Linked DNA regions of Elephas maximus indicus. The protein of the gene in region 1 interacts with the protein of each later gene in a pairwise test. Links are inferred from orthologs where the notes say so. Each region holds a gene or a part of one and is shown on either strand. Other genes may lie near its edges. The genes, in order: VPS52, NFKBIB, DDX6 and MFAP1.

Region 1 (7,850 bases):
CCGGGATTCCTCTAGTCGCAGTCAGACCATTAAGTATGGTCTTTTTATGAGAATTTGGGGTCTGCATCCCACTGATCTCCTGCTCCCTCAGGAGTTCTGTTGTGCTCCCTGATAGGGCAGTCATCGATTGTGGCCGGGCACCAACTAGTTCTTCTGGTCTCAGGATGATGTAGGTCTCTGGTTCATGTGGCCCTTTCTGTCTCTTGGGTTCTTAGTTGTCGTGTGACCTTGGTGTTCTTCATTTTCCTTTGCTCCAGGTGGGTTGAGACCAATTGATGCATCTTAGATGGCCGCTTGTTAGCATTTAAGACCCCAGACGCCACATTTCAAAGTGGGATGCAGAATGTTTTCATAATAGAATTATTTTGCCAATTGACTTAGAAGTCCCCTCAAACCATGTTCCCCAGACCCCCACCCTTGCTCCGCTGACCTTTGAAGCATTCATTTTATCTCGGAAACCTCTTTGCTTTTAGTCCAGTCCAATTGGGCTGACCTTCCATGTATTGAGTGTTGTCTTTCCCTTCACCCAAAGCAGTTCTTATCTACTGATTGATCAATAAAAAACCCTCTCCCTCCCTCCCCCCTTCGTAACCACAAAAGTATGTGTTCTTCTCAGTTTTTACTATTTCTCAATATCTTATAATAGTGGTCTTATACAATACTTGTCCTTTTGCCTGACTCATTTCGCTCAGCATAATGCCTTCCAGATTCCTCCATGTTATGAAATGTTTCAGAGATTCGTCACTGTTCTTTATCGATGCGTAGTATTCCATTGTGTGAATATACCACAATTTATTTACCCATTCATCCGTTGATGGACACCTTGGTTACCTTTGAATCTTTAAATTTTTCCATAACCATGCTCCTGAGAAGTTGCTGTCGAGCAAAGATCTTGAAGGCTCTGTTTACTGACTCTAGATGCTAGCCTGCCAAGAGGTTAGGTCCCCTTTTCTCTGCCCCAAGATCGCTGTTCTCTTCAGGCCTCCTCTATCCACAAAAGTACACTGCAGTGACCATCACTTTCTCCTAAGGGCCTGGACTATGTAACAGTTGATAGCCAACTTAATCATTACACTTACCCTCTTTAAGGACACAGCCAGCACTTGGATACAAAAAGGTGGTTTTCCAAGGACTCAAGTCTGAAATTATTTGATCAACTAATTTAGTAGTCCGTATTAACTTGGAAACCCTGGTGGCATAGTGGTTAAGTGCTACGACTGCTAACCAAACGGTTGGCAGTTCAAATCCACCACGCACTCCTTGGAAACTCAATGGGGCAGTTCTACTCTGTCCTATAGGGTCACTATGAGTCAGAATCGATTCAACAGCAGTGGGTTTGGTTTTTTGGTATTTAATTTAGAATCTATTTCTACACTGGACAGAAAAGTTGTTAGTGTGCCTCATACCTGCATTTAAAAATAAACACTGAAGACTCTGAAAGTGTTCCAGGACAACTGGCATCTTGGTGGGACAAGAGTTCCTTGTGAACAAGACCCATGGGGACCTTCAAGTCAACTCTAACCCCTCCAAGTTTCCAAATACTTCCTGGATGGCAGCTATAATCCTGATGTAGAAGAGGGCAGAACACTAGCCTTAAAAAATACAGCAAAAAACTGAAAGTGGCAACAAAACAATGAGGGGAAAAAATCACAGCACAGAAAAGCTTTGCAGGATACACGCATACGTGTATGTTTCACCAACTGCCACTGAGATGGCTCAGATCCATGGCCACCCCATGTGTCAAAGTAGAACCGTGTGCTATAGAGTTTTCAATGGCTGATTTTTCAGAAGTAGATCGCCAGGCCTTTCTTCTGATGATGCTGGCTGGGTGAACTTGAACCTCCAATCTTTCAGTAAGCAGCCAAGCCCTTAACCATTTGTACCACCCAGGAACTAAACCAAAACCAAAAACAGTGCTGTCAAGTCGATTCTGACTCATAGCAACCCTACAGAACAGAGTAGAACTGCCCCATAGTTTCCAAGGAGCACCTGGCGGATGTGAACTGCTGACCCTTTGGTTAGGAGCCGTAGCACTTAACCACTACGCCACCAGGGTTTCCTGCAGATCTATATTGTTAGCTGCTGTTAGCTGGCCCCCCAACTCATGGTGACTTCACACACAAAGGAATGAAATGTTGCCCAGTCCTGCACCCTCCCTGTGACTGGTTGTGGATTAGACCGTTGTGATCTACAGGGTATTCATTGGCAGAGCAGTGGAAAGTAGATCTCCAGGTCTGTCTTCCTAGTCCATCTTAGTCTGGAAGCTCCACTGAAGCATGCCTAGCATCACAGCAACATGCAGGCCTTCACTGACAGGCGAGGGGTGGTAGCTGCTCGAGGTGCACTGGCCAAGAATCAAACCCAGGTCTCCCATATGGAAGTCAAAATTTCTACTACTAAACCACCAAATGCCCCACAGTAGATCTGCTACCTGTCAGTATATACCCTTTTCTTATGTTAACTTTCATTCTTCACCATTCTGGGGCTAACCACGTTTTTGAGGAACCCCTCCCCATACTCAGCCTCCCTTTTTCCTCTTTAATCTTCTCCCAATTTCCTAGAATTACCCCCAATCCCTCGTTCTTAATAAAGGACCACCTCCAAGCTTTAGGTCTGTCACCAAGAGGTAGCTGCCTTTCCTGGCTCTCTGCTAACAAAAACTTCAGTACCCAGAGATCTCTAAGGAACAGCCCTTCCCAATGATAGCAGGGCACCAGGATCCCATCCCCCTGTGAGACTTCTCTTCACATGCTAAATATCTGAAAATGGCTGAACAATTGTCCATGAAATCTAATTCGACTACAAAGATTATGACACACATTTAACAAATCAACTGCAAAGATGCAGAGAGTGAAGAAGCACCCTACTAACCATGCTCCGCTTTTATATTCACAAACTCGCTTATGGCTCACAGCAAGGCTTTGCAGTAAGTATTCAATCTTTAGGGTATCTTACATTTTCAGAGAATATCAAACAGAAGCTTTAAGCTTCTTCTGTATTCAACTGAAGCAGCTCTGTTAAAAAAGAGTGGTTAAGCTGCTTGGCTGTGAAGCAAAAGGCTGGCAGTTTGACCCCACCAGCCACTCAGTGGGAAAAAAATGTGGCAGTTTGGTTCCTTAGACATTTACAGCCTTGGAAACCCTATGGATTGCTGAGTCGGGATAGACTTGAGGGCAGTGGGTCTGGTATTCAATTGAGAACAAGTAAAAGCTGCTCTCTGTATGAGAGTGAAAAAAAATCAAGGAAATTTGACAAACTCGATGGTCGTCAGGACCAGTCGGGACACCCCCTCTGTCACCGGAGGCGGGGGTAAGGTATCCCCAGTACCATCCATTCCCTAACACTGAATAAGCCTCAACAATACACCAGAAGTAGAGGACTGTAAACAAGACTGGCTTGGCCCTGTTCCCTCTGAGTTATGGGTACTGCAGGGCAAGAAACACATTCAGCTATTTGTACAAGTAATTATTCTATAAACGATAGAATGTCCCCAGCCAGAAGGCTGGATGAAAGTAGATATCCAAACCTGCATTTAATTCTTTCAACAAGCCCAAACCAAAATATACTGGGGTTCCCTTTTCAGCTGGAAAGAACACTGACTTTCACCTCCGACAACTGAGTAAATATCCTGCTCAGGACCTAGTGATGACCCTGTCCCATGGATATATTCTTTGACACTTGCAATCTGTTGGCACAGCTACTCATTCAAGATGTGTAAGAATTATAAGGTTTTCAGGGTGTATAAATTTAACAGGAAGGGCTGTTGTTATGATGTAGTGGAGACAGAAATCTCAAACTGAAGGTTCAGAAAACAGCTTTAAATAACTTTAGCAAATTCCGGTCGACAACCATACCCAGCCTTTTCACTCTAGTGAAACGTTTTGGCTTGACCTTAGACCCTTCTCTGGCTTTTATTACTCACCTTTTGTGGTAAATGTGGTTAAGGGATTAATCACTCCCCTTAGCTTTTTTTTTTTTTTAAACCCAGCAGCCAACGTGATCTGGTTGCCTACTCGACCTTGCTCATTTATAATTTAGCTCTTAACAACCCAAATCTCATTTATAATCTTTACTTTACCTTAATGGCAGTGATGGCAAAGGCTATCTTCCGCCGCCCATCGATGTTAGTGTTGAGTACTCGCAAAATGTGCTGGAACTTCTCGGGGATCACCAGAGACTGATTGAAAGAGATGGGGGGGGGGATCAGACACTGTGAACTACCGTCAAACCGTAAGACGAACGAACCACCTCAAACAGGAACGCTAAGTTTGTCACATAGGGAGCAATGACCCACTCCACGTTTTCACATCACCGCAAACTCCTCATTCCTGCAGACAGCAGAATCATGAACCGTTCAGGCCTAGGGATATGCAACTTCCGGAAAGGGGACAGGTCCCCTGCCGACTCCCAAAAGCATATTCTGCGTAGAAGCTGCCGGAGATCCCCGCACACGCCTAAACCTCTCCCCGCTTTCGTGCCTCCAGGGAGTGACCCTTTCCCGGGTCCCGTTTCCCGGAATTGGAAGTCTTTGGTCATCCATTCTCAGGGGTGTAATGCAAGGCTCCACACAGAAAGTTGCAGGCCCCTAGGATAGGGCGTTTTTGGCCCTCTGAAAGCAGACGTTCCCTGCCCCGGTTCCGATGCAGCCAGATCCCGACCCGGACTCTAGACTTACCATGGCGGCGGTAGCTTCGGCGGCGTGTAGGCCTCCGGTGGAAGAGAGAGCGGAAGTGACGCCAAATACTTATATAGCTCTCTGGTGGAAGGGGCGGAGCCATCTGGAAGAAGCGCTTCCTGAAACGGCTTCACCCCAAACTGACTAGACTTCTGAGGAGCTGACTTGGACGCCACAACTTCCGGTGGTGTCTGCTCTTTACTGTCCGTAAAGTTCATGGGTGTGGCAACAGCGAAGATTCCGGGACGAGGCTGTATGTGAGACTTCCGCACTCTCGTTTGTGCTTAGGTGAAGCGGTTACAATTGAAAGGAGTTAGACAGTTTAACTCATTTATCTGCGAACGGGTTTGCGTTGTGCAAGGCTCTCTGGAACGGACTTGCCCGGACTGACAGCTGCCGGAAGTGAGGCTGCGCCTAATGGCCGCAGTTGCGACCATGGCGGCAGCAGCTCGGGAGCTGGTGTTGCGAGCCGGCGCCTCGGATATGGAAGAGGAGGAGGGCCCGCTGGTGAGAGCGCCGGGCTGTTTTCCTCTCCGGAGCTCCATCCGGGCCTCCTAGCGTCAGGAAGTCCCGGGCTGGGTGTAGGCACAAAAGGGTGGGAGCTCGGCTGCTATCGGTAACGCTACCTGTTTGGCTTCCTGGGATCGGACCTGAACCTGAACGAAAACCAGAGTAGCCATGACTCAGTTTCCAGGGGCACAATTTCAACTCCTCCCGATTTGGGGCAGAACAGAGAAGCCTCTGGAGCCACACAGCCTGGGTTCGAATTCCAGCTCTGCCACCTACACACTGTCTTTGGGCAAGTTAACCAGCTTTTTCTATGAGATGACGAAAATAATAGTATCTGTCGTATTAGATTGTGAGGATTACGTGAATGAATATATGTAAAACGGTCCCTGACATGCACTTAAACAGTGTTTAAGTTTTAGCTGACTTTTCTAGAAAGGCTCGGACTCCCCAGAAAGATGGTGATACGACATGTGAAATAGCAGGAGTCTAGGACTCCTAAAGTCAGCTGCAAGATCTGCCCAATTTTTGCAGCTTCTCATCTTCCTCAGAGACCTCCTCCCTCTTCATGGATTACATGCTTCCTTTGCCATATGTCCTGTCCATAAATCCTAAATAGTAGGTGGGGTACAGAGTGAGACTCTCGGAGGTTTTTGACTCAGCACTTACTACTCCCCAGTAAAAGAACCTCTCTCCCACTTGGAAGATTGAGGACGTCCTATTGTATTTTGTTCTTTTCCTCCTCCTCGTACCCCTCTCTCGGTAATTTTTCCCTTCCCAGGGGAGTGGTACTGGGCTCCAGGAGCCACTGCAACTTGGGGAGTTGGACATCACTTCTGATGAATTCATCCTGGATGAAGTGGATGGTAAGTGATGGCATGGGGCCTCTGCAGAGCTGGAAGTTAGAGTGCCTGTAATCTAAGGTGCAGCAGGTGCCAGAAGGAGTAACACAGAGACTGGTGTGCAGATACTTAGTGTGGGGGGTGAGAGCTGTAGATCCGGGCTCTTATGATAACTTTCTATTTCCAGTTCACATTCAGGCAAATCTGGAGGATGAGTTAGTAAAGGAAGCTCTTAAAACGGTGAGGCTTTCCACTGTACTAATCTGCTCCCTCATCTCCCCTCCCCCCAAAGAAAAGAAAAACAGTCTTCTATTCTCATGACATGACCGTGGTGTCCCACTCTCTAGCCCTTTGTTGATTCTGTTCCAGTGATTCTTTGTTGCAACTTAGTCCTGACCTGTCACTTTATATGTCTTCCTAGGGTGTGGACCTCCGTCACTATTCAAAGCAGGTTGAGCTGGAGCTACAGCAGATTGAACAGAAGTCCATTCGAGATTGTATCCTCCACCAGAGGGCAGGAGTGGTGTTATTGACAGGGATTTTGTCGGGTATGGTGCAGGCAGCCCAGCTAGGGCTGAGATTTCCCTGAGGTTTCTGTCATCTCAGGGAGAAATCAGAGAGGTTCTGCAGGTCTGAGAATCTCCATATTCAGCATGAGGCCCCTTGACTTTTTGTGGGTCAGATATCCAAGAGAGCGAAAATATAGCATCTCTGCACAACCAGATCACAGCCTGTGATGCTGTCCTTGAGGTTAGTAACCATGGCCTGTGACCCATAACAAGCATGAACTGGTCCAAGACTTTTGGTGCCATTTTTAGTCATTGACCTTAGGTGGAAACAGGTTAGAGTCATTTTCAGGATGACCTCAGCATCCTTTTTCATGGTCATTTCCATAGCTGATATTCTTTCCGAACGGTGACCTTTGGGATACTTCTCCCCTCATCACCCCCCACCCTCACAAACTGATAGATACTAGAGATTTCACCAAGAGAATTAAATGGCCCACTTGTCCCCTACCAACCCTTTGGTGCTCCAGCAGCATTTACTCTCTCCCCAGCGCATGGAGCAGATGTTGGGAGCTTTCCAGAGTGACCTCAGCTCCATCAGCTCTGAGATCCGGACACTGCAGGAACAGTCAGGAGCTATGAACATTCGTCTTCGAAACCGCCAGGCAGTTCGGGGGAAACTTGGGGAGCTTGTTGATGGTCTGGTGGTGCCCTCTGCCCTGGTCACGTGAGTCGCCAGTCTGAAGGGTCACAACATCTATGGCAGCTAGAGACTTACCACATGGGTCTTCTGGGTCCTGGTCATCAAGCGCCTGCCAGAAGTTGGTGGTTGGATTGACAGTCTTTTCTCACTGCGATATGTGCTTTAGGCATCAAAGATTAGGAGTCATCTAGGGTCAGATGTGTAGTGAGGAGGTTCGAGGCTTACGTGGAGAGTCTAGAAGCAGAAAACTGTACATACAGCCTGACTGCATGTTACAGTGTAAGAAGGTACAGCAGGCAGAGGCTGGGTGTAAGGGGTGTGGTTTGGGCGTAGTCTAGGGATGCCTGGGTCTCCCACCTAACCCACCTTGCTCCTCCCTGCTACCCAGGGCAATTCTGGAGGCCCCGGTGACAGAGCCCAGGTTCCTGGAGCAGCTGCAGGAGCTGGATGCCAAGGCAGCTGCAGTCAGAGAGCAGGAGGCTAGGGGCACAGCGGCCTGTGCAGACGTCAGAGGCGTGCTTGACCGGCTCCGGGTCAAGGTGGGGAGTGGGGGTAGATACCCAGAAACTGCTAGAACCAGGCTCCCTAACACCTTCACCCTGGATTCCCTGGCAGAG
Region 2 (7,507 bases), on another chromosome or scaffold:
GATCCAGGGTCGGCGGCCTCCTGGACACCTCCCTGTGGATGACCCCCAGGACCCTCACTTCTCCTGTGTCCCAAACTGGCCTCAGCATCTCCCCCAAATCTGTCCTCCTCCTGGACCTCATCTCAGGGGGCCTCACCTCGTCCTGGGCACCTCCCGCTTCCTGCCACAGCCCACCTGGCCTCTTGAGCACCATTTCCACTTCCCCACAGCTCCACCTGGTCCAGCCTGTCCTCTCGGCCCAGACCTCGCCTTGCATCCTCCTGACCTCTCAGCCTCAGTCTCCACTTCCCATCTCCCCTCCACGTGACGGCCTGCCTGGGCCCTGGCCCGCTTCTGGCTACTTCAAAGCCTTTGTCTGTGGCTTCTCCAGTCACTCAATCCTCCACGAGGGTGGGAACTGGATCTGCCACGTTCACCACTGAATGCCTGGCACCTAGAACATGGTCTGGTGCCTGCCAAGAGTTCCAGAACTATCCACCACTGAACGAACACCTGCTGTGTGCTAGACCAGGGCTGGACCCTGTAATGATTCCCCAAAACACAAATCTGACCACCTCACTCCCCTGCTTAAGACCCCTCCCACAACTCGCTCCCCTATCACTCACTGCCCTGGCTCTAAGCTTATTTGAATCAGAACCTCCCCTTCCAAATGACAGGGCTTACTGCAAGGCACTGACCAAGACATAACGATTTACTCTCCTTGAATAACTTTAGCTTCCCCTTCCTTACCTCCAATGCATACTGGGTCCCCCAAGATCCAGGTGCCTTATGACAGAAAAAAAAAAAATTCTGCGCAAACAGGCCCTAATCACAACCGCGGTATAATATTCACCAAAAAAAAAAAACCATTTGCTGTCGAGTTAGTTCCAACTTGTGGTGACCCCATGTGCGTCACAGTAGAACTGTGCTCCACAGGGCTTTTGATGGCGGAGTTTTTCAGAAGAAGATTGTCAGGCCTTTCTTCCAAGGTGCCTCTGGGAGGACTCGAACTACCAACCTTTCAGTTAGCAGCCAGCACATTAACCTTTTGGACCGCCCAGGGACTCCCCAGCATCCCCCTTAACTTTCTTTTGAAAAGCTCACAGTCCTGCATCTCAGAGGGCTGGGGGTCAGACACAGTCCTGGTGTCCCTGTCTCACCCTTAGTGCTCCCTCTCCTCCCACTACAGTGCTCCATCCATCCAGTTTTGTATTTCTTTCCCCTCCCCTTGCAACTTCCCTTTGAATCAAAGTCACCCTCGCCATGTTTTAACACTATCTGGTATGATTCTTTCTTTGACACTTTTTAAGATTACACAAGCTTTGCAAAAACTTTGAAGGTTAGAAAATGTGTAACTTGGGGCACTTGCCTCATGGTTCTCTCTCCCAGGCCCCATCGAGATAACCGCTATTAGTTAAGTTTTGATGTTAATTATGCCAGCTTTCTCCTCTACATGTAAACGTTCACTATTTTGATAGAAATGGGTCAGGCCCTAGTCTGAGGCTGCACCTTGCAGTTTTCCAGAGAACAGTACAGTACAGACCCACCTCCTCCTTTTAAGCAACTGCATAGCGTCCCATTGTATGGACGAACCAGTTCATTTAACTCATCTACTGACAGCCATTTGAGCTGTTTCCAGCTTTGCCACACTGCAGAGACAATGCTGCGATTTACGTCCTCCATCTCTCTCGGGGACTGAGGATCCCTTTCTAATACTAAGCCTTTTTCTCTGGACCCCACATGACAGCAGTGGTGCTTTGGGAGCTAGGGGGGTTTGAAACCCTGGCCTGAGGGGAAGCTCTCATACCCTCAGTGTCACTGTGCTATGCCTCTGTGAGGTACTTTAATCCCAGCATCTACACTGGTCTACATCTGCAAAGCCATCTCGCATCTGTGGGTGGGCTGGAGACAAAGAGGCTCTGTGGGAGGACTCCAGGGCCCTGCCCAGCCAGGGGCAGCTTTGCCTACAGGGGAGGTGGAGGTGCTGGCGAAGTCTTCCAGCCTCCAGCTTCTAGGAGGCGGCCCTGTCGTCTCAGTGTCTGGAGGGCAGTATGCTGAAGGTCTTGAGTTCCAAACCCTTTCCTGCTCTTCTAGCCAAGGGACAGAAGGCAAGTCTTATCACCTCTGCCCCAGATACCCCAGATACCTCAGATTCCTCATCTACACAACGGGCGTGTGCCTCCCAGGGATATCGGGAAGGTTAAACCAGGCGATGCATACAAAGCACTAAACAGAGTGCCTGGCACAGAGTAACCAAAAAAACCCAAACCCACTGCTGTTGAGTAGATTCCAATTCATAGCCACCCTATAGGACCGAGTAGAACTGCCCCACAGAGTTTCCAAGGAGCGCCTGGCAGATTCAAACTGCCGACCTCTTGGGTAGCAGCTGTAGTACTTAACCACTATACCACCAGCGTTTCCAGCACAGAGTAAGCACTCAATCAATGCTAGCCATGGATATAATTATTCGACCATTCCTAGCCAAAGGAGCCCTAGTGGTGCAACCGGCCAGTGCTCAGTGGCTAACTGAAAGATTGGGGGTTCGAAAGCATGCAGTGGCTACCTGGGAGAAAGACCTGGCAATCTGCTCCTGTAAAGATTACAGCCTAGAAAATCCTATAGGACAGTTCTACTCAGTCACATGGGGCTGCTACGAGTTGGAATCAACTCATGGCACCTAACAACAACCATCCCCAGCCACCAAACTACTGAACAGATCACAGTCTTTCATGCCTCCAGGTCTTTGCACAAACTACATCCTCTGCTTGGAACACCATTTGTCACCTTGTGTAGGAACATTCTAAGCCAGTCTTCACCGACTACACTGTGTCTATATCTCAATCTGACTCCTAGGCCAGCCTGTGGATTCCTCCAGGGAAGGGGCTAGGTAGAGTCTGTGATCCCACAAGGCTTACTCCCACAGTGGCCTGAGATACCTCCATTATTCCCTTATAGACTCATTTTCTAGTGATTTTTCTGTGAGAGCCGTGAGTTCAGGGACCAAATCTGATGTGTGTCTCTCCCAGGCCCAGTACAAATGAGGTTCAGAAGGGATGGGGGGAAGAGGGACAAGGAAAGAGGGAACCTGGGAGGGCAGGCCTGGGACTGGGGTAACACACCCTTCTCTGAAAGTCACCAGAATCCACCATTCCCCAGGAGGCTGCACCCTGGGTGGGGGAGAGGGCCTGGGGCAGTGAGCTGGGGGCCCTAGGGGAACTGGTTTCCCTCTGCCGCCTCCCCCAGTGTGGGATGTAGGAACAAGTCCATCTGTCTCCTTCCCTCCATTCCACCCTTTACCCCATCTCACCTGAGCCTCCTGCACCTTCCCTGCCTGGGTCTCCAGAGGGTCAGAGGCTGGGGGAGGAGGGGAGCAGACATGGTTACAGCAGGGGGGGATGGTTAAGGGGGAATGAAGGGGTTAAGAGCGGGAGTAGGGGGACCCAGAAGACCCACCGACCTAGTCACACTGGGGTAAGGAGTAGAGAGGAGGGGATGAGGAAAAGCTGATCATATTAGAGTGGAGATTGCTGGGAAGGGAGGTGGCTAGTGAGGGACAGAGAGGCAGGGGAGGGACAGGTTTAGGGGGACAGAGAGGAGAAAGGAAGGGATACAGGGTGTGGAAGAAGAGTTAGAAAGAGTTAGAAAGGGCACAGCCGTGTGTGTGTGTTGAGGGGGTTAGGTTTCCAGGGTGGAGGGAAATTTAGGAAGAAAGGAGGTAGGAAGGGATACCCTGGCTGGGAGGCGGGTTTGGGAGAGGAGGTGCGGTGGCGGTGGTAGGTTTAGGAGAGGTACAGGAACTAGAGGGAAGAGATAGGAGGGAACACCGGGGCCGCCTAGCATCATACAGCTGCCCCTAACAACCAGGTACCCTTAGCAACCGGGATCGCGGCAACGAGGGTCCTTAGCAACGAGGGTCGAAAAACATGCGATTATCAGTAACACGGTAAAGTGACCCTTAAAACCTCGCGACCCAGAAACCCAACAACCTATCGACACAGAGCATTTAGCAATGGCCCTTCAAATTCCACTCCCCCACGCAGCCTCCACCTCCTGCCCCACCGCGCCCGCTCTCGGGCCCCAGGGCCTGGATCACGAAACCAGGCCCCGGTGCGGCCCGTCCCTCCCACCAGAGCCCTCGACTCACGGTCCGGCTCGGCCATGGGCGCGGGGCCGGGGCCCTCGGGGCTGTCACCGACTGCTCTGTCCCGTGACGGCACCGGAAGGGGGAGAGGCAAGGAAGAGGCAGAGAACTACAACTCCCAGAAGCAATAGCGGCCGCAGACAAGCGATTCTCTCAAAGATCGGAGCGCGTCCCTCCGGATAAGGAAGGTACACGAGAGCCGGACTACGAGTCCCAGAGGGCCGCGCGTCGGCAGCCATGTTGGTAAAGGGCGCCCGGAAAATGTGGGAACAGGTCGAGAGCTGTAGTCCATTCCGACACTCTGATTGGTCTTGGTGCGAGATTGGGCGGGACGTGAGCGATTTAGCCCACTCTTATTGGAGACAGTAGGGGGAGTGTTGGGGAATTCCCCGCAGGGCGGAAGCTCCAGAGGTCCGGGCACAGCCCAGAGGCAGGCAGGCTGGCGGAGGGCGGCCTCTGGGGTCCCGGAGGCAGAGGGGGGCATGGCCGGGGTCGCGTGCTTGGGGAAAGCCGCAGATGCGGATGAGTGGTGCGACAGCGGCCTGGGCTCGTTGGGTCCGGACGCAGCGGTCCCCGGAGGACCGGGGCTGGGCGCAGAGCTGGGCCCGGGGCTTTCGTGGGTGCCCCTCGTCTTCGGCTACGTCACTGAGGATGGGGACACGTGAGTGAACCTTAGACTCCCGAACCGGCCCCAAGGATCCAACCTCGGATAAGATCAGCTTTACCTGATACCCCAGTGGTCTGATCCGGCTTTCTAACCTTTACTCCTAAATCTGACCTCTGATCCTTGACTTCCTGACGTCTAACTCCCAAATCCTAATCTTTAATAAATCAATCTATCCAACTTTGATCTTAACCATATATGTGTGTGTATATATATATATATGTAAATTTTTTTTTTAAACCCAATCATTTTTGACTCTCCTTTCTTGAACTCTTGATTCTTAGTTCCTGGAATCCACATCCCTAACCCACTGATCCCAAAACCCAATTTGACCTCATGTGGCCCGAGACCTCTAACCTCCTGACCTCTAACCTCCAGACATGGTCTTTAATCCTTAATTCATGATTTGTAAGCCTAGACTTTGATTTCTGACATTATAGTTGGCCCCTGACTCTAAGGTCCTGCCTCTGGAGCAGTAATTTTCAAATCTTTCATTCAGAGAGAGATTGTAAGCTCCATGAGAGCAGGGATTCATCCATTCAACAAATATTTATTGAAAACTACCATGTTTTGAAGCCCTGGTTGCATAGTGGTTAAGAACTTGGCTGCTAACCAAAAGGTCAGCAGTTTGACTCCACCAGCCGCTCCTTGAAAACCCTATGGGGGCAATTCTACTCTATCCCATAGGGTCACTATGAGTTGGAATTGACTGGATGGTAGTGGGTTTTTTTTTTTTTTTTTGGTACCATGTGCCAGGCCCTGTTTTAGATGCCAGTGATAAGGTTATGAAGAAAACAGACAAAAAGTTATGTCCTTATGGAGCATACATTCTAGGTGGGAGAGCTAGACAGACAGAAGGTCAGACAGAAAGAAAGACAGGAAGGAAGGAAATAAAAACATAGTCTATCAGAAGATAGCAAGTGTTACGGAGAAATAGCAGGAAAATGAGACAAATAGGTATCTGGAAAGAAGAGAATTGCAGGCAGAAGGAATAGCAGTCATACAGGCCTGGGGTCTTTTGTCAGTTTTGTTTATTGCTGTACCCCAGTGACTTGGACAGTGCCAGACCCGTAGTAACCAACGAGTTGCTGTGAAGTTGGTGCTGTCTCATGACAACACCACGTGTATCAAAGCAGAACTGTGTGCCACAGGGTTTTCGATGGCTGATTTTTTGGAAGTAGATCTCCAGGCCTTTCTCCCTAGGTGCTTCTAGGTGGATTCAAACCTCTAGCTTTTCGGTTAGCAGCCAAGGATGTTAACCATGTTAACCATTTGTACCACCCACCATCTCCTAGATCCATACCAACCAGTTGCCTTCAAGTCCGTTCCAACTCACGGCAACCCCATGTGTGTCGGTAGAACTGTGTTCCACAGTATTTTCAGTGGCTGTTTTTTTTGGTTTTTTAGAAGTAGATCTCCAGGACTCTCTTTTCCTTGGCAGTTAATAAACATTGGCCTTCTCAAAGAACCAGGTTGTTTTTTCATTAATTTTCCCTGTTGTTTTTCTGCTTTCTATTTCATTGATTTCTGTTCTGATCTTAATTATTTCCTTTCTTCTTACTTTAGTTTTAATTTATTCTTCTTTTCCTAACTTTCTAAGATAGGAGCTGAGCTTATTGACTTGAGCCTTTTCCCTTTTATCTGATACAGGCGTATAGCTGTATAAATTTTCCCCTTACTACTGCTTTAGTGGAAACCCTGGTGGTGTAGTGGTTAAGTGCTGCGACTGCTAACCAAAGGGTTGGCGGTTCGAATCCGCCAGGCATTCCTTGGACGCTTTATGGGGCAGCTCTACTCTGTCCTGTAGGTTCGCTGTGAGTTGGAATCGACTCGACGGCAGTGGGTTTGGTTTTGGTTTGGTACTGCTTTAGCAATATCTCACAAATTCTGATGTGTTGTGTTTTCATTTTCATTTAATTCAATATGCTTTCTATTTCTCTTTTGATTTCTTATTTGACCCTTGGGTTATTTAAAAGTATGTTGTTTAGCTTCCAAATATTTGGAAGGTTTTCCACGCTTCTTTCTGTTAACAGATTTTTTAATTTGATTTCATGTGGCCAGAAAACATACTTAGTATGGTTTGAATCCTTTTGAATTTATTGAGACTTGTTTTATGGCCCAGAATATGGTCTGTCTCGGTAAATGTTACATGTGTGCTTGAGAAGGATGTGCGTTATGCCATTGTTGCAAGGAGCGTTTTCCAAAGGTCAGTTGGGTCAAGTTGGTGTATAGTGTTTTCTAGTTTTGCTGATTTTCTGTCTACTTGTTATACCAATTATTGAGAGGGGTGTATTGAAATCTCCAACTGTAATTGGGGATTTGTCTGTTTTTCCTTGTAATCCTGTTGGTTTTTGCTTTGTGTATTTTGAAGCTCTGATATTAACGGCTCTACTCTGATAATAAAATACTCCAGCTTTCTTGTGACCAGCGTTAGCATGGTATATCTTTTCCATCTTTTAATTTTTAACTTATTTGTGTCTTTATATTTAAAGGGCATTAAAAAAAATTTTTTTTATTGTGCTTTAAGTGAAAGTTTACATATCAAGTCAGTCTCTCACACAAAAACTTATATACACCTTGCTACATACTCCCTATTGCTCTCCCCCTAATGAAACAACCCACTCCCTCCCTCCACTCTCTCTTTTCGTTCCATTTCGCCAGCATCTAACCCCCTCCACCCTCTCATCTCCCCTCCAGGGAGGCGATGCCAGCATAGCCTCAAG
Region 3 (7,217 bases), on another chromosome or scaffold:
TCAGAAAAAACACTGTGTGCCCTTATGAACTTCAACTACAGAAACTGAACTTTCCAAAGAAAAATGTACGTTCCTCTTTCCCTTAAGCTTTTGCCCCTTAAAATAGTGACTGAAGAAATCACGGGACACAGACCTGTCTGCATGTCAAAATTGCATCTTTGAAAAACAGCCAAGAAAATCTTTAACTACTTTAATAAAATCTGAATACTAAAAAACTATTAGCTACATTTTAATATAACATTTTTTCCCAAAACTATGCCCTAATTTAAAATAGTCCTGTTGTTCAAAAATAGATTTAAAAAAATACACAAAAAAATTTCCTGTGTAAAAGGAGTAAATCTGTGAACAGCTAAGCACAGTAGTGACTTTAACAAACCCTTCCAAGAAACCCAGAGTACTAATTATTTGTTTTAAAAAAGAACTAGTCAAATTTCACTACTTTCAACTTCTGTTCCCAAAATCGAATTACAGCCATGGGTTGCTTAAGGTTTACAATATGTTCTGTGAAATAGAATACTACGTGATTTGGATGTTGTGTGAACACCGTATTATATACAGGCAGTCCCCAGAGTACAAATGAGTTCTGTTCCTATGTCTAAGTCGAATTTGTATGTTAAGTCATAACAGGTACGGTTCATTTCTAACGTCAGTTAGTCGAATGCTTGTCTTAGTATGTATATAGTGTACGTTTCTATGCATGAAAAACATTTAAAAAAAACTCCCAGATACACTGAAACGTCTTTAACATGATAAAGTAGGAATCAACTTGACGGCAATGGGTTGTTTTGATGCGCAAGGCAAAGTAGCACCCATTTGTTATTGTGAACCATTGTGTCTACCTCGAATTTTTAATAGGCTTTACAGGGTAGGTTCAAAACTACAGGTTGTACGTTAAGTACGTTAAGCAGAAGTTCCTAGGTTGGGCGTCCGCAACCCAGGGACTGATTGTACTTAGCAAAGCCATATGGGATGCTGTAGTGTTACCTATATTGACTGAACAGCCACCACGAAGCTGTTCCCTATGTCCGGTTCTCCAATCGAGATTTCTTAACTCTATTATAACCTTCTGGGACCACAGACGGATACGTGGTCCAACACTGCCTGAATGGACCTTATGCGGCACATGACTGCATTTAAAAACTTAGTAAATAAAAACTTAATTACAAAGCCCAGAAAACAAAGGCCTGCTGTTGTTTTTTTTTTTAACTCCTTTACATTTCTTACCAAATATACACTAACTTATTAATCAGGACTTATTATTTTTGCCATACATCATGGGTTTTCAAATTTGAAATTATAAAATGCTCCTTTGTCTTCCTTTTTTAATTGACAATCAGGTTGCTCACAAGCCAATCCTAATTATCTCATACACAGAGCTTTATATTTCTACGTTTCCCTGTATCTGTCTGACCACTCAAGCGGACCATGGCTAACAGCCACCTAATTTCAGTTTCAAGGTAGTAAATGGTTTCCTGATTTGGGAGGTTTATATTATCATGATGAACAATATCACCGAGTTCACACCGGGAGACTCATTTGTCTGCAAGACACTAAGAGGATGAAGAGGGCAACCCCTAAAGATTAAATGATATTACTACTACCCATTATAAACAACAGGACCTCTGTTCTCTCCAGATCCAAAATGTGACTATGTGGTAACTGCTCCCCTCTTAATTGAACTGAAATCTGCACTGCAGAGAAGAAAATATTCCTCTGGCCCTTCCCAATTTAGTGTTGCAAATTGTATTTCTACGTTTTCAAAAATACGAAGGAAACGTAAACTAGTTGGGAGGAGCCGCTAGTGGAGTTAACTACAGCACTTTTCAGGTTGTAGTTAGCAACTGACACTTTCACACCCAAAATATCATTGTCATCTCCAACGAGAGCTTTTGTTTGCAAACGCAGCGCAGTTTCGGTATGCTAGATCTGCAAGTTGTAGTGAGTTTTATTCTGAGGGGAAAAGGAGACCGTGGAAGAGAAAAGGGAATGAGAGGGAAATGAAAGAGGCAAGCCAATGATACGAGCCCCGTTTTGTGAGGCAATAATTTCTGATCTACGTTCTCCGCATCCTCAGTCCCTTACACACTTCAAGTCAGCTTCCTCTGGCCATATACACAAAAGGGTTGGGGCCCTGCAATCGTATCTGCGCAACATGAGCCAGGAACCAGCTCCGAAGGTTGGAAACAATAGAGACTCCCTCCATAAGGCCTCAAAGTGATACCCCTAACTCAGAAAGGCCCTCATTTCCTCCACGACTCGGGGGCTCCACAAACACACTCTTGTTATGGATCTAAAAGCCCCATCCCAATCAAGCAACTGCTGGCCCTCTTTTTAACAGGGCCCTTAAATCCGGCATTTCCATGCCGCCCCCTATAGGGCCGCCGCGTACCCTATAACCTCCACCACCCCCCTAGTCCTTGCCGCTCCCTCCAGTTCCATATTCATCATCCACTGCACATCTCCTCCGAGTACTTCGGCCGCTCTGTATCTGGACCCCACCGCGCACGACATTCCTATTTCTGCTCCTCTCAGGCGCCCCCGTCCCACACAGCTGCTGGCAGCTGCCCGCCTTCCTCCCCAGGGCCGGACCAGGCCTTAGGCCTCAGCCTCGGAGCGCCCCCCACGCCGGGCTCAAAGCTTTCCGCAGCCCCAGTGGCCCGTCAGACCTCGACCCCACCACCTCACCCCGCTCCCCGCGGCTCGAGCCCGCGTCCTACCACCGAGGCCACTCCCGCTCGGCACCCTCAGTCCTTTATTGTTGACTCGAAGCTCCCAAAATGGCGGCGGCTCCTTCCTCTTCGGAAACCTCCGCCCACCCCCGCCCGGCCCCCTCGCTTCTGCCTCTTCCTGCCCCCGCCCCGCTCCTGGGGCCGCTCTACTGAGCATCCCGCGTCGGCCCGGCTCCCCGGGCCAGTCCAGCCCTACCTCTGCCGCTGCCCGCTCCCACGGAGCCGCCGAAGTCGCCGCCCGGGCTGAGCTAACTCGGCTCCCCTGCCCCCTCCCTCTCCCGCCCGCCGCCGCCGCCGCCTCCCGCCCTCTTTCCCTGTCTCTCCGCATGGCGGCGGCCGCGGCTCCTCCTCCACTCAAGATGGCGAGAGCTCAGGCAGCCGTCGCTGCGCCCACGGCGGGGTCAAGGCCTCTCCTGCTTCGCGGCAGGAGAAAGGCGACCCGGGGAGCCCCCCTGAGAAAAAAACGGAGGACTGTTCTCCCACACTGACTGGGGGACCAGCGGGTGTCCAGGTGGAGAGAAGTTGAAGGGGAAATAGTTTCCTTTCTGAGGAGAAAGGAGGGGTACTTTTTCCTCAGCTGAGGAGATGTCTGGGTAATAAAGGGTGGGAAGAGTCCACTCTCCCTTTGCCTCTTATGAGTCGGAATCGACTCGACGGCAGTGGGTTTTATTGGGTTCTCAAAAGTGAAAATCGGGGGCTGCGACCAGACGAGGATCTGCTTATTCCTGACCAAAGACACGTTCCGAGAACGGCCTGTTCGGACAGTGGCTCCGGGACCGGATAGCTGGCCTGACTTCTCCCATGGTCTGGGAGCCTGCTGCTGGACCCAAGGAGCCGCGCCCGAGCCCCTCCGGGGGCGCCTCCATCCAGGAACGCGCGGAGCGGGAGTCCCGGAGGCGCCGGCGCGCGCCTGGGGTGGGGGCCGGAAAGGGACCGAGAAGGCGCTGCTGAGGGGTGAGGGGCCGGGACCGACCCCGGAGAGCGCGAGGTGGCCGCTGCCCGGGCGCGGACGGCGGCGGGGCCGGGGAGCGAGCCTTGAAGTGGGAGGCTGGGCTACCGGGTCCCGGAGACGGCGCGGAGGGCGCGGGCCGTGGACAGGGGCAGCGATCCTGCGTTGTCGGCTCTAATCGTCAGCCCTCCAGGGAAGAGGGAGCGGAGGAGGCCAGAGCTCTCCCAGAGAAGCGCGAAAGCTTCTGATGAGTCAGTTAAATGGAAGTAGTTCTGTGAGGAAATGAGGAACCAGAAGGCGGCGAATGCTTTTTTCTCGTGCCTGACCCTCGCTACAAAGACAAGTAATGTATTTGTTCCCAGAATTACTTTTCCTATACACGACCCTGATGTCTCCATTTATCCTTAACAGAAATAACAAGAATGCAGTCTCATCTTAGGTAAAACAAAAATTTGGAGCTAGAGAGCTAACTAGGTCAAGAGAAAATAAAAACCTGGGTCTCACCCAGCTAAGAGACTGAATATACAAGGGGACAGTGGCCAGACCATATACGACAGAACTCTGACCCACAACCTCTGCAACAAGGCTCAGGAAGCCAAGCCACAACCTCTGCAGCAATCGGCCCAGAACGGTCAGCATTCGGTCAATGACCGCCAGCTTCCCTGTTTTTCGCCCGCTTCCAACTCGGAACCAATCAGAGAAAGCCAAATATGCTCCCCAAACCAATCACATAAGATGCCCCCCGCTTGTAGTTAGCCCGCCTCTAGCTTCCCTAAACCAACAACCTTCAGAGTCTACCTGAACCTTAACCTTGTTCTCACTATAAAGCTTCCTTACTCCCCTGCCTGCCTTTGAGTCTCTACCAAATCAAGAGATGATGGTTGATTGCCTTGCTATATATAGCAAGCTCTGGATGAACAGCCCGTTTGTTCTCATTTGTTGGTCTTTATTTCCACACAGCCAATGGAAACGAAGAAGTGTAGAAGGTTATTCCTGAAAAAGGTTCCCCTTCCAATTTTTTAAATTCTAAATTTGTAGCATGTCATTTCTCACACAGATTTTAAAACACCCACTTATGTAAGGGAATAACCTTGCACCTTGTGCCTATCCTAGAAGAGAATAGCTAAGTAGTTTCTTAAAATGATAACGTGGGAGAACTTGTTTGCCTCATTATCTTTCCCAGGATTAGTAGGAATGTGAAGGGCAGGAGGTCACTTCCTGGTGGGATCTCCGTAGGCCACTCAAGAAATGGGATCAGGCAAAGGAAAGCGGTTTGCAACCACAAATAAACTGTTACCTTCCAAAGGGGGCTGATTGAAGTCATGACAAAAAGAGGAAAAGAGAAGAGGCAACCAAAGTGGAGTATGAAGCAGCTCCCCTTCCAGGGCTAAAAGCTTTAAAGACTCTGCTTAATGTTTTTATAAAATAGCCTAGTACCACTGTTATTGTCTGCTGCCCTTGAGTGGGCCCCCATTCATAGCGACTCTGCACGACAGAACGAAATGCTGCCCATTCCTGTGTCATCCCTTGTGCTCCATAGGGTTTTCATTGGCTGATTTTCGGAAGTGGATTGCAATGCCTTTCTTCCTAGTCGTTCAGTTGGGAAGCTTGGCTGAAACCCGTTCAGCGTCATAGCACACAAGCCTCCACTGACGGGGGGCCCATGAGATACATTGGCTGGGAACTGAACCCAGGTCTCCTGCACGGAAGGTGAGAATTCTGTGGATTCTACCACTGAACCACCATGCCCTCAAACCAGTTGCCATTGAGTCTGCTCTGACTCACGGCAGCCTCACGTGCGACAGGTAGAACTGTGCTCCATAGGGTTTTCCATGACTGATTTTTCAAAGGATCACCAGGCCTTTTTTCCAAGGTGCTTCTCTGGATGAACTCAAGCCTTCAACCTTTGGGTTAGTAGCTGAGCGCTTTAACTTTGCACCACCCAGGGACTCCCCAGATCAGCTCTTTCTAGTCTTCTGGTGAAATAGCGTGGATGGTAAAGAATTAATTTTGAATCCTTGTATCTTTTCTTCTGGACTCAATTTTATGGTTGCTAGATCCAACTATCTCAATACCTTTTTTATCCCTAGGTCAGATTAACAAGAATCATAGGAAATGATACCTTAGGAATACAAATTATTTGCTAACGTACATAAACCCAAACCCATTGCTATCGAGTCGATTCCGACTCATAGCAACCGTATTGTTTTCTTAAAGTATTTATACTTTGTATAGACTGTAAGTATACGTATAGGGTCGCTATGAGTTGGAATCGATTCGAGGGCAGTGGGTGGGCATACGTATAATTATACTTTATACAACGTACGCCTACTCCTCAGTTAACAACTCTCTCATTATCTGATACATTGCATTTACGACAACAGTAAAAAATCTACCCGTCTATTTTGTGAATTAATGACGTACGTCTGGCAGTAACCCTTTCTTGTCCAATGGTACAGATAGTGCTCACCTACATTTTCCGCCTCTTGGGTCTGGAGGGACATATGTGTCCCACAAAATATTTTGTGATCTGATGTGGTTATCATCCATTTTTGCATAAGGCTAATTTTCCCATAATGACCTGGTCTTTGGAACCTGACCATGTCAATAAGTTAGGAGTGGAAATATTTTTACTTTAGTATTTATAAAATGAAGAAGCCCTGGTGGTGCAGAGGTTAAAGTGCTCAGCTGCTAATTGAAAGGTCGGCAGTTCAAACCTACTAGCTGCTCTGCAGGGCAAAGATGTGGCAGTCTGCTTCCATAAAGATTGTTGTTGTTAGGTGCGGCTGAGTCAGTTCCGATTCATAGCGACCATATGTACAACAGAATGAAACACTGACTTGTCCTGTGCCATCCTCACAATCATTGCTATGTCTGAGCTTATTGTTGCAGCCACTGTCTCAGTTCACGTCATTGATGGTCTTCCTCTTTTTCGCTGACCCTCTGATTTATCAAGCATGATATCTTTCTCCAGGGACTGGTCCTTCCTGATAACATGTCCAAAGCATATGGGACAAAGTCTCACCATCTTTGCTCCTAAAGAACTTTCTGGCTATACTTCTTCCAAGACAGATTTGTTTGTTCTTCTGGTAGTTTATGGTATATTCAATATTCTTCCCCAACAGCATAATTCAAATGCATCAATTCTTTTTTCATCTTCCTTATTCATTGTCTAGCTTTCACATGCATGTGAGGCAAGTGAAAATACCATGGCTTGGGTCAGGTGCACCTTAGTCATCAGGGGGACATCTTTGCTTTTTAACACTTTGAAAAGGTCTTTTGCAGCAGATTTGCCCAGTGCAATACATCGTTTGATTTCCTGACTGCTTCTTCCATGGGTGTTGATTGTGGATCCAAGTAAAATGAAATCCTTGACAACTTCAGCCTTTTTTCCATTCATCATGATGTTGCTTACTGGTCCAGCTATAAGGTTTGTTTTTTTTGTTTTTTGTTTTTGTTTTTAATGTTGAGGTGTAACCCATACTGAAGATTATAGCCTAGGAAACCCTGTGGGGCAGTTCTATTCTGTCCTTACAGGG
Region 4 (7,951 bases), on another chromosome or scaffold:
CAGAGTAGAACTGCCCCATAGAGTTTCCAAGGTGCTCCTGGTGGATGGGAACTGCCAACCTTTTGGTTAGCAGTCGTAGCACTTAACCACTATGCCACCTGGGTTTCCATATTACACAACTGGCATTAAAAATCACCAGCAAATGGATGGACTATTCAATCAATGGAGTAGGGATAACTGGTTAACCTTAAGGTAAAAGGTAAAGTCATATCCCTAACTCACCACACATGCACAATTCCAGATGGACTGAAAACTTAAAAGTGAAAGATGTATCTTAAACATTTATATCCCCTACTGGACAGTAAGGTCCTTAACATACAGCCTGTCTTGTATAATTGTGTATTCAATCCTATTTAGTAAATACAAATATTTACATGTTAGAAAACCTTTATAATTGGAATATCTGTGATCTCAAAGTAGGGAAAAATTTCCTAAACAATATACAAAAAAGTACAAAACATAAAAGATAAAACTAATAAATATGATTACATTAAAACTAAAGCTGTGTGGCCATCTAAGATGCATCAATTGGTCTCAACCCACCTGGAGCAAAGGAGACTGAAGAATACCAAAGACACAAGGTAATTATGAGCCCAAGAGACAGAAAGGGCCACATAAACCAGAGGCTACATCAGCCTGAGACCAGAAGAACTGGATAGTGCCCGGCTACAACTGATGACTGTCCTGACAGGGAACACAACAGAGAACTCCTGAGGGAGCAGGAGAGCAGTGGGATGCAGACCCCAAATTCCCATAAAAAGACCAGACTTAATGGTCTGACTGAGACTAGAAGAATCCCGGCGGGCATGGTCCCCAGACCTTCTGTTAGCCCAGGACAGGAACCATTCCCAAAGCCAATTCTTCAGACAGGGATTGGACTGGACAATGGGATAGAAAATGATACTGGTGAAGAATGAACTTCTTGGATCAAGTAGACACATGAGGCTATGCTGGCATCTCCTGTATGAAGGGGAGATGAGAGGGTAGAGGGGGTCAGAAGCTGGCCAAATGGACACGAAAAGAGACAGTGGAGGGAAGGAATGTGCTGTCTTATTAGGGGGAGAGCAATTAGGAGTGTATAGCAAGGTGTTTATAAATTTTTGTATGAGAGACTGACTTGATTTGTAAACTTTCAGTTAAAGAACAATTAAAAACAACAACAACAACAAAAAAACTAAAACAGAAGACTCCATAATTTAAGTTTTAAAAGAAAGCAAAAAAATAAGGAAAAAATACATTACAGGTTTGGAATGCATAAAAACACAACCAAATAGAACCAGGCAATTCATAGAAGAGAAAACCGAGAAAGCCAATAAACATGAACAAGATGCCTGTCCTCACTAGGAATCAGGGAAATGCAAATTAAAATGAGATACCATTTCGCACCTGTTAGATTGGGTACGAATTTAAAAATCTGATACAACCAAGTGTGTGAATGAATACACAGGGAAACAAACTTTTTTCTTACAACTGACTTTGGAAGCAATTTGGCAATAGGTAGCAAAGTTGATGAAGAAATTCTAAGAGTCTACCCAAGAAAGCTTCTCATACAAGTGAACTGAAGAGACATGTTTAAGGATGACAATGGCAGAATTTTTGCAATAGGAGGAAAAACAACACAACTAACTGTCCCTCAGCAGGGAATGGACAAACTGGTTTAATTATACAATGGAGTTCACAAGCAGTTAAATGAATGCCATCTAATGTGTCCCAAGGATAATTTTCAAATGCCATGTTGCACACAAAAAAAGTATATATTTAAAAACAAAAAGAAACAATTGGTATTATTTTCCAACATCTTTACTGAAAAAACTCCGACTCCCCAAACAGGTATGTTGTTCCTTCTTCCATCTGCACCCATTGAAATGCTACCCATTTTTTATGGCTCAACTTCAATGCCACCTTCTTCAGAAAGTTTTCCCTAGTCTGAAGTGATCTCTCCTCTGCCTTCCCACAACACATGGTTTATAGCACCTATATGACAGGTGGAAACCCTGGTGGCATAGTGGCTAAGAGCTACAGCTGCTAACCAAAAGATCGACAGTTCAAATCCACCAGGTGCTCCCTGGAAATCCTATGGGGCGGTTCTACTCTATCCTGTAGGGTCACTATGAGTCCGAATCGACTAGACGGCAACGGGTTTGGTTTGGTTTTTTATGACAGGTATCACAGGTTGAAAGGCCATATATACACAACTTAGAATGTGCGTCCTTTTTGCATGTCTGACACCTAGACAGAACTAGAATATGAGTTCCTTACGATTAGGAGCACTGTCTTACACAACTTTGAATTCAATTTAATAAGCACGGCACTGCATTGGTTGAAAGGGATAAAAAGTTGAAATAAAGCATGGTTCCTGCCTCAAGGAGCTTAATAGCAGGGAGAGATAGACACATAAATAACTATATTGGTAAGTTCTAAAAGCATAAACATGTTGCTACGGAGAACAAAAGAAGGACTGTAACTCGCACAACGCCCTGCAAAGAGCAGGCACTCAATATACATTAGTCTAACGAACTGGTGGAGGTCTGGGGAAGTGGGATGCTGTGAGAGCAAAGAAACCATGGGAACAAAATCAGACACAAGCGGGTTCCCCACTCTCTTCCCCTAGGCAACGCGGTTGGGTGAGAGCTTAGGGTAAGGCTGAAGAAACCGGGGACGAGGTGTTAAGGGTCGGCAGGAGGGGAGGTTGGAGCGATCGGCCAGGGGTAGGTTTGGAAGATGCTGGGGCAGGAAGAGGTAAGATACGACTGTAAAGGGTCTCAGCACAGTACCTTTCTCATTGCGGACTGGGACGGCCCCAGCCGTAGACTGAATAGGCGGTTGTTTCATGAGTGAGCTTGGGACCGACATGTTGATGGCAGCGGCGGTGACTCCTTAAACTTCACTTACTCCAGAGAACACCGACAGCGTCAACGAACAGAAAAGATACTTCCCAACCCAGCTCCACTGGCCACTGCTGCGCGACGACTGGAAAACCTCTTACGCCTGAGCTAGACAAACCGGAAATATGTGTGGAGAGGATTGTGGGATTCTGGAGGACGTCTGAGCGCTTTCGCCTACAAGGTCGAGTCTGTTACTGCGCATGTGCCCGGGCTGCCTTGGCGTCCTCAGTCTCGCAGCATTTGGAAGCCGCTTCTGGAAGCCGCTTCTGGCGGGAAATCGCTTCCTTTGGCGTATGGTCGAAGCCCAGCGGCGACGGAGGTCCAAGTTAAAGGTTTCGCTTGTTAGTTTGGTTTGAAGCCTGTGGAATAGTATAATGATGAGTGAGAAACGGGGGAGATAATGAGGGGCTGTTTGTCTATATTGTTGAAAGCTCAGAGGATTAGGGTTGGATCGGAATAGAAATCCTGTTAATAATAGCACCTGATCAGCTCTACTGATGAGGCCAGGGCGGGCGGTGGTGCGGCATTTTTAGGTCATAAGATGGCAGGTGCTGGTGATTTAGGCCAGTGGCAAAAAAGTAATAAATGATAAAAGAGAAAAGGAAATAAATGAAATTCCTCCAAGAGGCCTCCTTGCCTGAAATCTCAAAACTCCAGTTTTAGCCTTTCACGTTCTTTCAGTTTATGAAGACCACCTCTGAAAATACATTTCTGGCTAAAAAAATATATGTTGGTCAGTCAATAATTAAGTACTTGCTGTGTTTGGAGTCCCTGGATGATGCAAACAGTTGACATGCTTCGCTGGTAACCAAAACGTTGGAGATTGAGTCCAGCCAGAGGTGCCTCAAAAGAAAAACCTGGCAACCTACTTCCCAAAAATCAGCCACTGAAAACCCTATGGACACAGTTCTACTCTGACACATATGGGGTCACAAGAGTCATAGTCAACTCCACCGCAACTGGCTTTTTAACTTGCTGTGCTCACCGGTTTAGTGCTCTATAAGGAGCATGGAGAATTGTTAAAGGGCTCGCATCCTCGAGCTTGAATTCTATTTAGGAAGTCTTCAAGGACTTCTGGAATCACAACAAAGCAGTCCCAATTTTCTAGCTGGGTCATGTGAAAAAAAAACCTGGCTAATTGGAAGTCAGAACAGATTTTACCATGTTAGGTGCCTCCCAGTCGGTTCTGACTCATAGTGACCCCGTGTGCAACAGAAGGAAACAGAGCCGGGTTCTGCACCATCCTCATAATCGTTATGCTTGAGCCCATTGTTGCAGCCACTGTGTCAGTCCATCTTGTCGAGAGTCTTCCTCTTTTTCTCTGATTCTCTACCAAGTATGATGTCCTTCTCCAGGAACTGGTCCCCCCTAATAACACGTCCAAAGTGTCTGAGACAAGGTCTCACCATCCTTGCTTCTAAGGGAGCATTCTGGCTGTACTTCTTCCAAGATGGGTTTCTTTGTCCTTTTGACAGTCCGTGGTATATTCAATATTCTTTGCCAACATCATAATTCAAAGGTGTCAATTCTTCTTCAGTCTTCCTTATTCATTGTCCAGGTTTCACATGCATATAAGGCGATTGAAAACACCATGGCTTGGGTTAGGCACACCTTAGTCCTCAAAGTGACATCTTTGCTTTTGAACACTTTAAAAGAGGACTTTTGCAGCAGATTTGCCAAATACAATGAGTCTTTTGATTACTTGACTGCTGCTTCCACGGGCATTGATTATAGATCCAAGTAAAATGAAATCTTTGACAACTTCAGTCTTTTCTCCATTTATCATGATGTTGCTTATTTTACCATATAAAAAGGACTTTATAAATGATGTGGTGAGGGAGAGAAGGGGCAACATGAACAAAGTCTTGAAGGCCAGAAATAGCATGGTATATAAAGTTTGGTTTTACCAGTTAGTAATTTTAGAGTCAGGGATTGGTGAAAGTCTGGCATGGAGGGCCTTGAAGGTATGTTAAGTAATACGGCTAATTCTCAAATTATTTCTCCTAGGTTCTAAAATTGGGCCTAGGCTGAAAGGAAAAAATAATACTGGACAAGCTTCAAACAAGGAACAGTGGAGGACACAAGTAACTAACCAACGGTACAGTTTTGGGCTTGAAGATATAATAAACAGACTTTTATACTGTATTTACCAGCTCAAAAAATTATGTTGTCCAGAGGGAGTAAATCTGATGGGAAGGCAATTGTTTCAGCTCACAGCAACCCAGAGAATAGAAAAAAAGTTTAATATGGCTGCGACTGTAAGAAATTGCGGGCGCTAAAATCGCCTTTGGCTATTTTGTGATACACAAATTATTTGATTCACAACTTCTTTTTTGCAGACTTTAGGCTATTTAAAGTCTTAGTTAACAGGTGGGCAGATGGTCAGAAGGTGAAATTTAAACAAATTTATCAGCTTTTGAAACAAAACTAAAATGCTTCCCTTCCTAGGAAGACGTTTCCGTAGAAGCAGTAGGGCACGATTCTCTGGTGGTAGGGTCAGGAGCCAGGTGGGCGGAGATAAAGCAGCGTGTAGATTTCGACTTCCTTTCTCTTCCATTCTGCAGGGAATTGAAGTGCGTCTGAATCTTTTCCAGTCTCACATTGCAAGGCAAAGTGGTTTTTCCTCAGTAGAAAAGTGCCAGTGTTTTTCAAAGGGGGTCCGGCACCACGAACATCAAAATAACCGGGATCCAAGGTAAAAATGTTAATTAGCTCCTACTGCATCTCTAAAGATTTTGAATCTCGGAGTGAGGCGGGTAACCCAGCCTGCTTACAGAAACTCCAGGCCAGCTGCGGGATGAGCCAGGCAGCGCCGCGGGACGGGGATTGCAGCCTCTCCCGCCCGGCCCCGCCCACGCCCCGCCAGGCCCCGCCCACGTCCCGGCCCCGCCCACGCCCGCCCCGGCCCCGCCCACGCCCCGCCCGGCCCCGACTCCCGCCGCGCTCTAGGCGGGAAGGCTCCAGCTGCTGAGCCGCGGGAAGATGTCGGGGTCCGGCGCGGCGGCCGACGAGAAGGCGGCTTCCAGGCTGCGACCCCAGGTGAGGGTGAGAAACGGGTTGGCCCTTCCCGGTGTTCTGCCGCAGTCTTCGGGTCTTCATGAAGGATCTCCCAGGCAGAGGCCCGGCAGGGCACGGGGACCTGGCACGGGACACCTCTCCACTCCAAAACTGTTTCCCGCCCCTTGAGGCAGCTCCCCGCTTGCTGGGTGTTTCAGGATGTTGCTTCAAAAAAATAAGCGGGGATTCCTGCCCTGATTTTCCCCCATAGAGAGCTAGGCCCTCTGCGTTGAGAAAGGTTCTTATCAGTAACCCTACAAATGCAGTAGTGTCAGGGCCAGATTAGCGACTCCCTTTCTGCTACCGGCTGCACCCTCGGAAGCTGACAGCTGGGGTGGGCTCCTCAGTTATAGGTGGTAGTCGTTGTTATTACTGGCCTGGCCAACTTGTATGGACAGGAAATGTGCCCCGGAATTCTATTTAGTTAAGTGAAGGAGATGTCTAGATTTTGGAGGTTTACCTTATAGGCTATGAGTTTGGATTTCTGTTGGTATCATAAAATTGAAATTAAGTTTACAGACATCTGTTGATGTCTGTTTCTTATCTGTAAGAGAAGAAAAGTCATAGGACCTGAGATTCTTAATACTGTTTTCCTTTCTGTTATTGACCTGATTAGGTGAATGAATATAAAGAAAATCAAAACATCCCTTACGTGTCTCTGAAACCCATACCGAGGACAGTTTTAGAAAAAACAGTTAAAGTTCACCTGGCTGCCTTTTCACTCAGTAATGACAAGCTAGACCAAGTTAAGCACCCCAAATCACTATTAGAAAAGAATTCTAACGATGTGCCGCTGTGTAAGAAGACAGAAATAAAGAAAACTTGCAGAGGGATTTTAACTCCAAAGATGGAAGCCACATCTTCCAGGGCAGAATCCAGTCTGCAAAAGTCGTCCTTAGATGTTCATCCTGAGAGTAACAGGGGACAGCACCAGAGCACTTCAGATGCTGTGATCGTCAGTGTTGATGTGGAAAGTGGCCAGGACGGGGACAGTGAGGAAGAAACCACATCAGGCCTGGTAGGAACTTAACTAGTAGCTTGTTCCAAGTTTTATTGTTCTGCAATTTGAAGTTCTGATAAACTAAGGCTATCAACGGTCTCTTCAGCTCAGATTGTTTTATCTGATTTAAGTGTAATTGAAAAAAAATTTTTTTAATGTTTAACTAATAACTTGGGTTAATTTTGTACTTGATTTTGGTGTGTCAGAGACACAATTGACTTAATCTTTTCTCTGCTTCACTTTATCCCCTCTCAGTTTACTGTTTTTTTTTCTTGTAAAAATATATAAAAACATTTGTCATTTATTGCATATATTATTTGTGTTTACACATTCTTTATGGTGCCTTGCTCATCTTTACATGTTTATGCAGTGTATCAGAAGTCGGCTTGTGGAACATAGGACATTTGAGCGACCCCCGATATTTCCTTTAATATTCAAAAAGGAGACAAAATATGGAGTAGAGAAGATATATGAGGAACACTTACCCTTACCTCTTCTGTTTAAAATAATATTTCGGATCAGTTTAAGGAATTAAGTATCTAATTCCTGTGGCTTCTTACTTATGGAGTGTTATGCTCTGTTCAAAGTGACAAATTTAGTTCAGGACAAGGTGAAACCACCACATGACAAAATATTGATGGAACTGAGAAAACAGCAAATGATGATAGGGAAAGGAAACTGATCATGGAAGTATTGTCGTTCTGCCACAGGAGGTAGATTTATGCTTTTTTGTCCTGGAGGTTTAAGAGCCAGGGCCTGGGGTGGGGCCTGTGGGCTAATTCAAAAGCAAGTTGAACTGGGGGTTGGGAGCTTGGGCTCCTAGGCGGGGCCACTAGAAAGGAACCTTATGCCTTTAGGGGAAATCACCTTTACTGTGAGGGGGTTGGAATAGATGAGTGGTTCTCAAACTTTAGCCTTCATCAGAATTAGCTGGAGGCCTTGTTAAAACACAATAGCTGGGCCCTACCCCCCAGACTTTCTGATTCAAAAATTCTGGGGTGGGGCACTG

What was found.
Region 2: the proteins of VPS52 (region 1) and NFKBIB interact in binary tests that used the Homo sapiens proteins (3 or more experiments, as listed by UniProt). The two-hybrid records come from large-scale screens. The link is inferred for Elephas maximus indicus from reciprocal best matches to the Homo sapiens genes VPS52 and NFKBIB.
Region 3: the proteins of VPS52 (region 1) and DDX6 interact in binary tests that used the Homo sapiens proteins (3 or more experiments, as listed by UniProt). The two-hybrid records come from large-scale screens. The link is inferred for Elephas maximus indicus from reciprocal best matches to the Homo sapiens genes VPS52 and DDX6.
Region 4: the proteins of VPS52 (region 1) and MFAP1 interact in binary tests that used the Homo sapiens proteins (3 or more experiments, as listed by UniProt). The two-hybrid records come from large-scale screens. The link is inferred for Elephas maximus indicus from reciprocal best matches to the Homo sapiens genes VPS52 and MFAP1.

The regions. Positions count from the first base shown.
Region 1 is NC_064819.1:96,065,587-96,073,436, reverse strand, and holds the start of VPS52 (vacuolar protein sorting-associated protein 52 homolog), read left to right. Parts: upstream 1-4,833; 5' UTR 4,834-5,092; coding exon 5,093-5,182; intron 5,183-5,301; exon of another isoform or gene 5,302-5,474; intron 5,475-5,963; coding exon 5,964-6,048; intron 6,049-6,211; coding exon 6,212-6,264; intron 6,265-6,445; coding exon 6,446-6,521; intron 6,522-6,706; coding exon 6,707-6,774; intron 6,775-7,081; coding exon 7,082-7,257; intron 7,258-7,621; coding exon 7,622-7,772; intron 7,773-7,850. Other genes in the region: RPS18 (40S ribosomal protein S18), read right to left, coding at 4,079-4,177, 4,676-4,678. UniProt on the Homo sapiens protein: Acts as a component of the GARP complex that is involved in retrograde transport from early and late endosomes to the trans-Golgi network (TGN).
Region 2 is NC_064829.1:112,633,634-112,641,140, reverse strand, and holds the start of NFKBIB (NF-kappa-B inhibitor beta), read left to right. Parts: upstream 1-4,504; 5' UTR 4,505-4,602; coding exon 4,603-4,781; intron 4,782-7,507. Other genes in the region: SIRT2 (NAD-dependent protein deacetylase sirtuin-2), read right to left, coding at 3,287-3,333, 4,124-4,139. UniProt on the Homo sapiens protein: Inhibits NF-kappa-B by complexing with and trapping it in the cytoplasm.
Region 3 is NC_064835.1:11,249,152-11,256,368, forward strand, and holds the start of DDX6 (probable ATP-dependent RNA helicase DDX6), read right to left. Parts: upstream 3,006-7,217; 5' UTR 2,926-3,005; intron 2,808-2,925; exon of another isoform or gene 2,686-2,807; intron 1-2,685.
Region 4 is NC_064828.1:12,257,186-12,265,136, reverse strand, and holds the start of MFAP1 (microfibrillar-associated protein 1), read right to left. Parts: upstream 3,017-7,951; 5' UTR 2,854-3,016; coding exon 2,775-2,853; intron 1-2,774. Other genes in the region: WDR76 (WD repeat-containing protein 76), read left to right, coding at 5,868-5,924, 6,559-6,960. UniProt on the Homo sapiens protein: Involved in pre-mRNA splicing as a component of the spliceosome.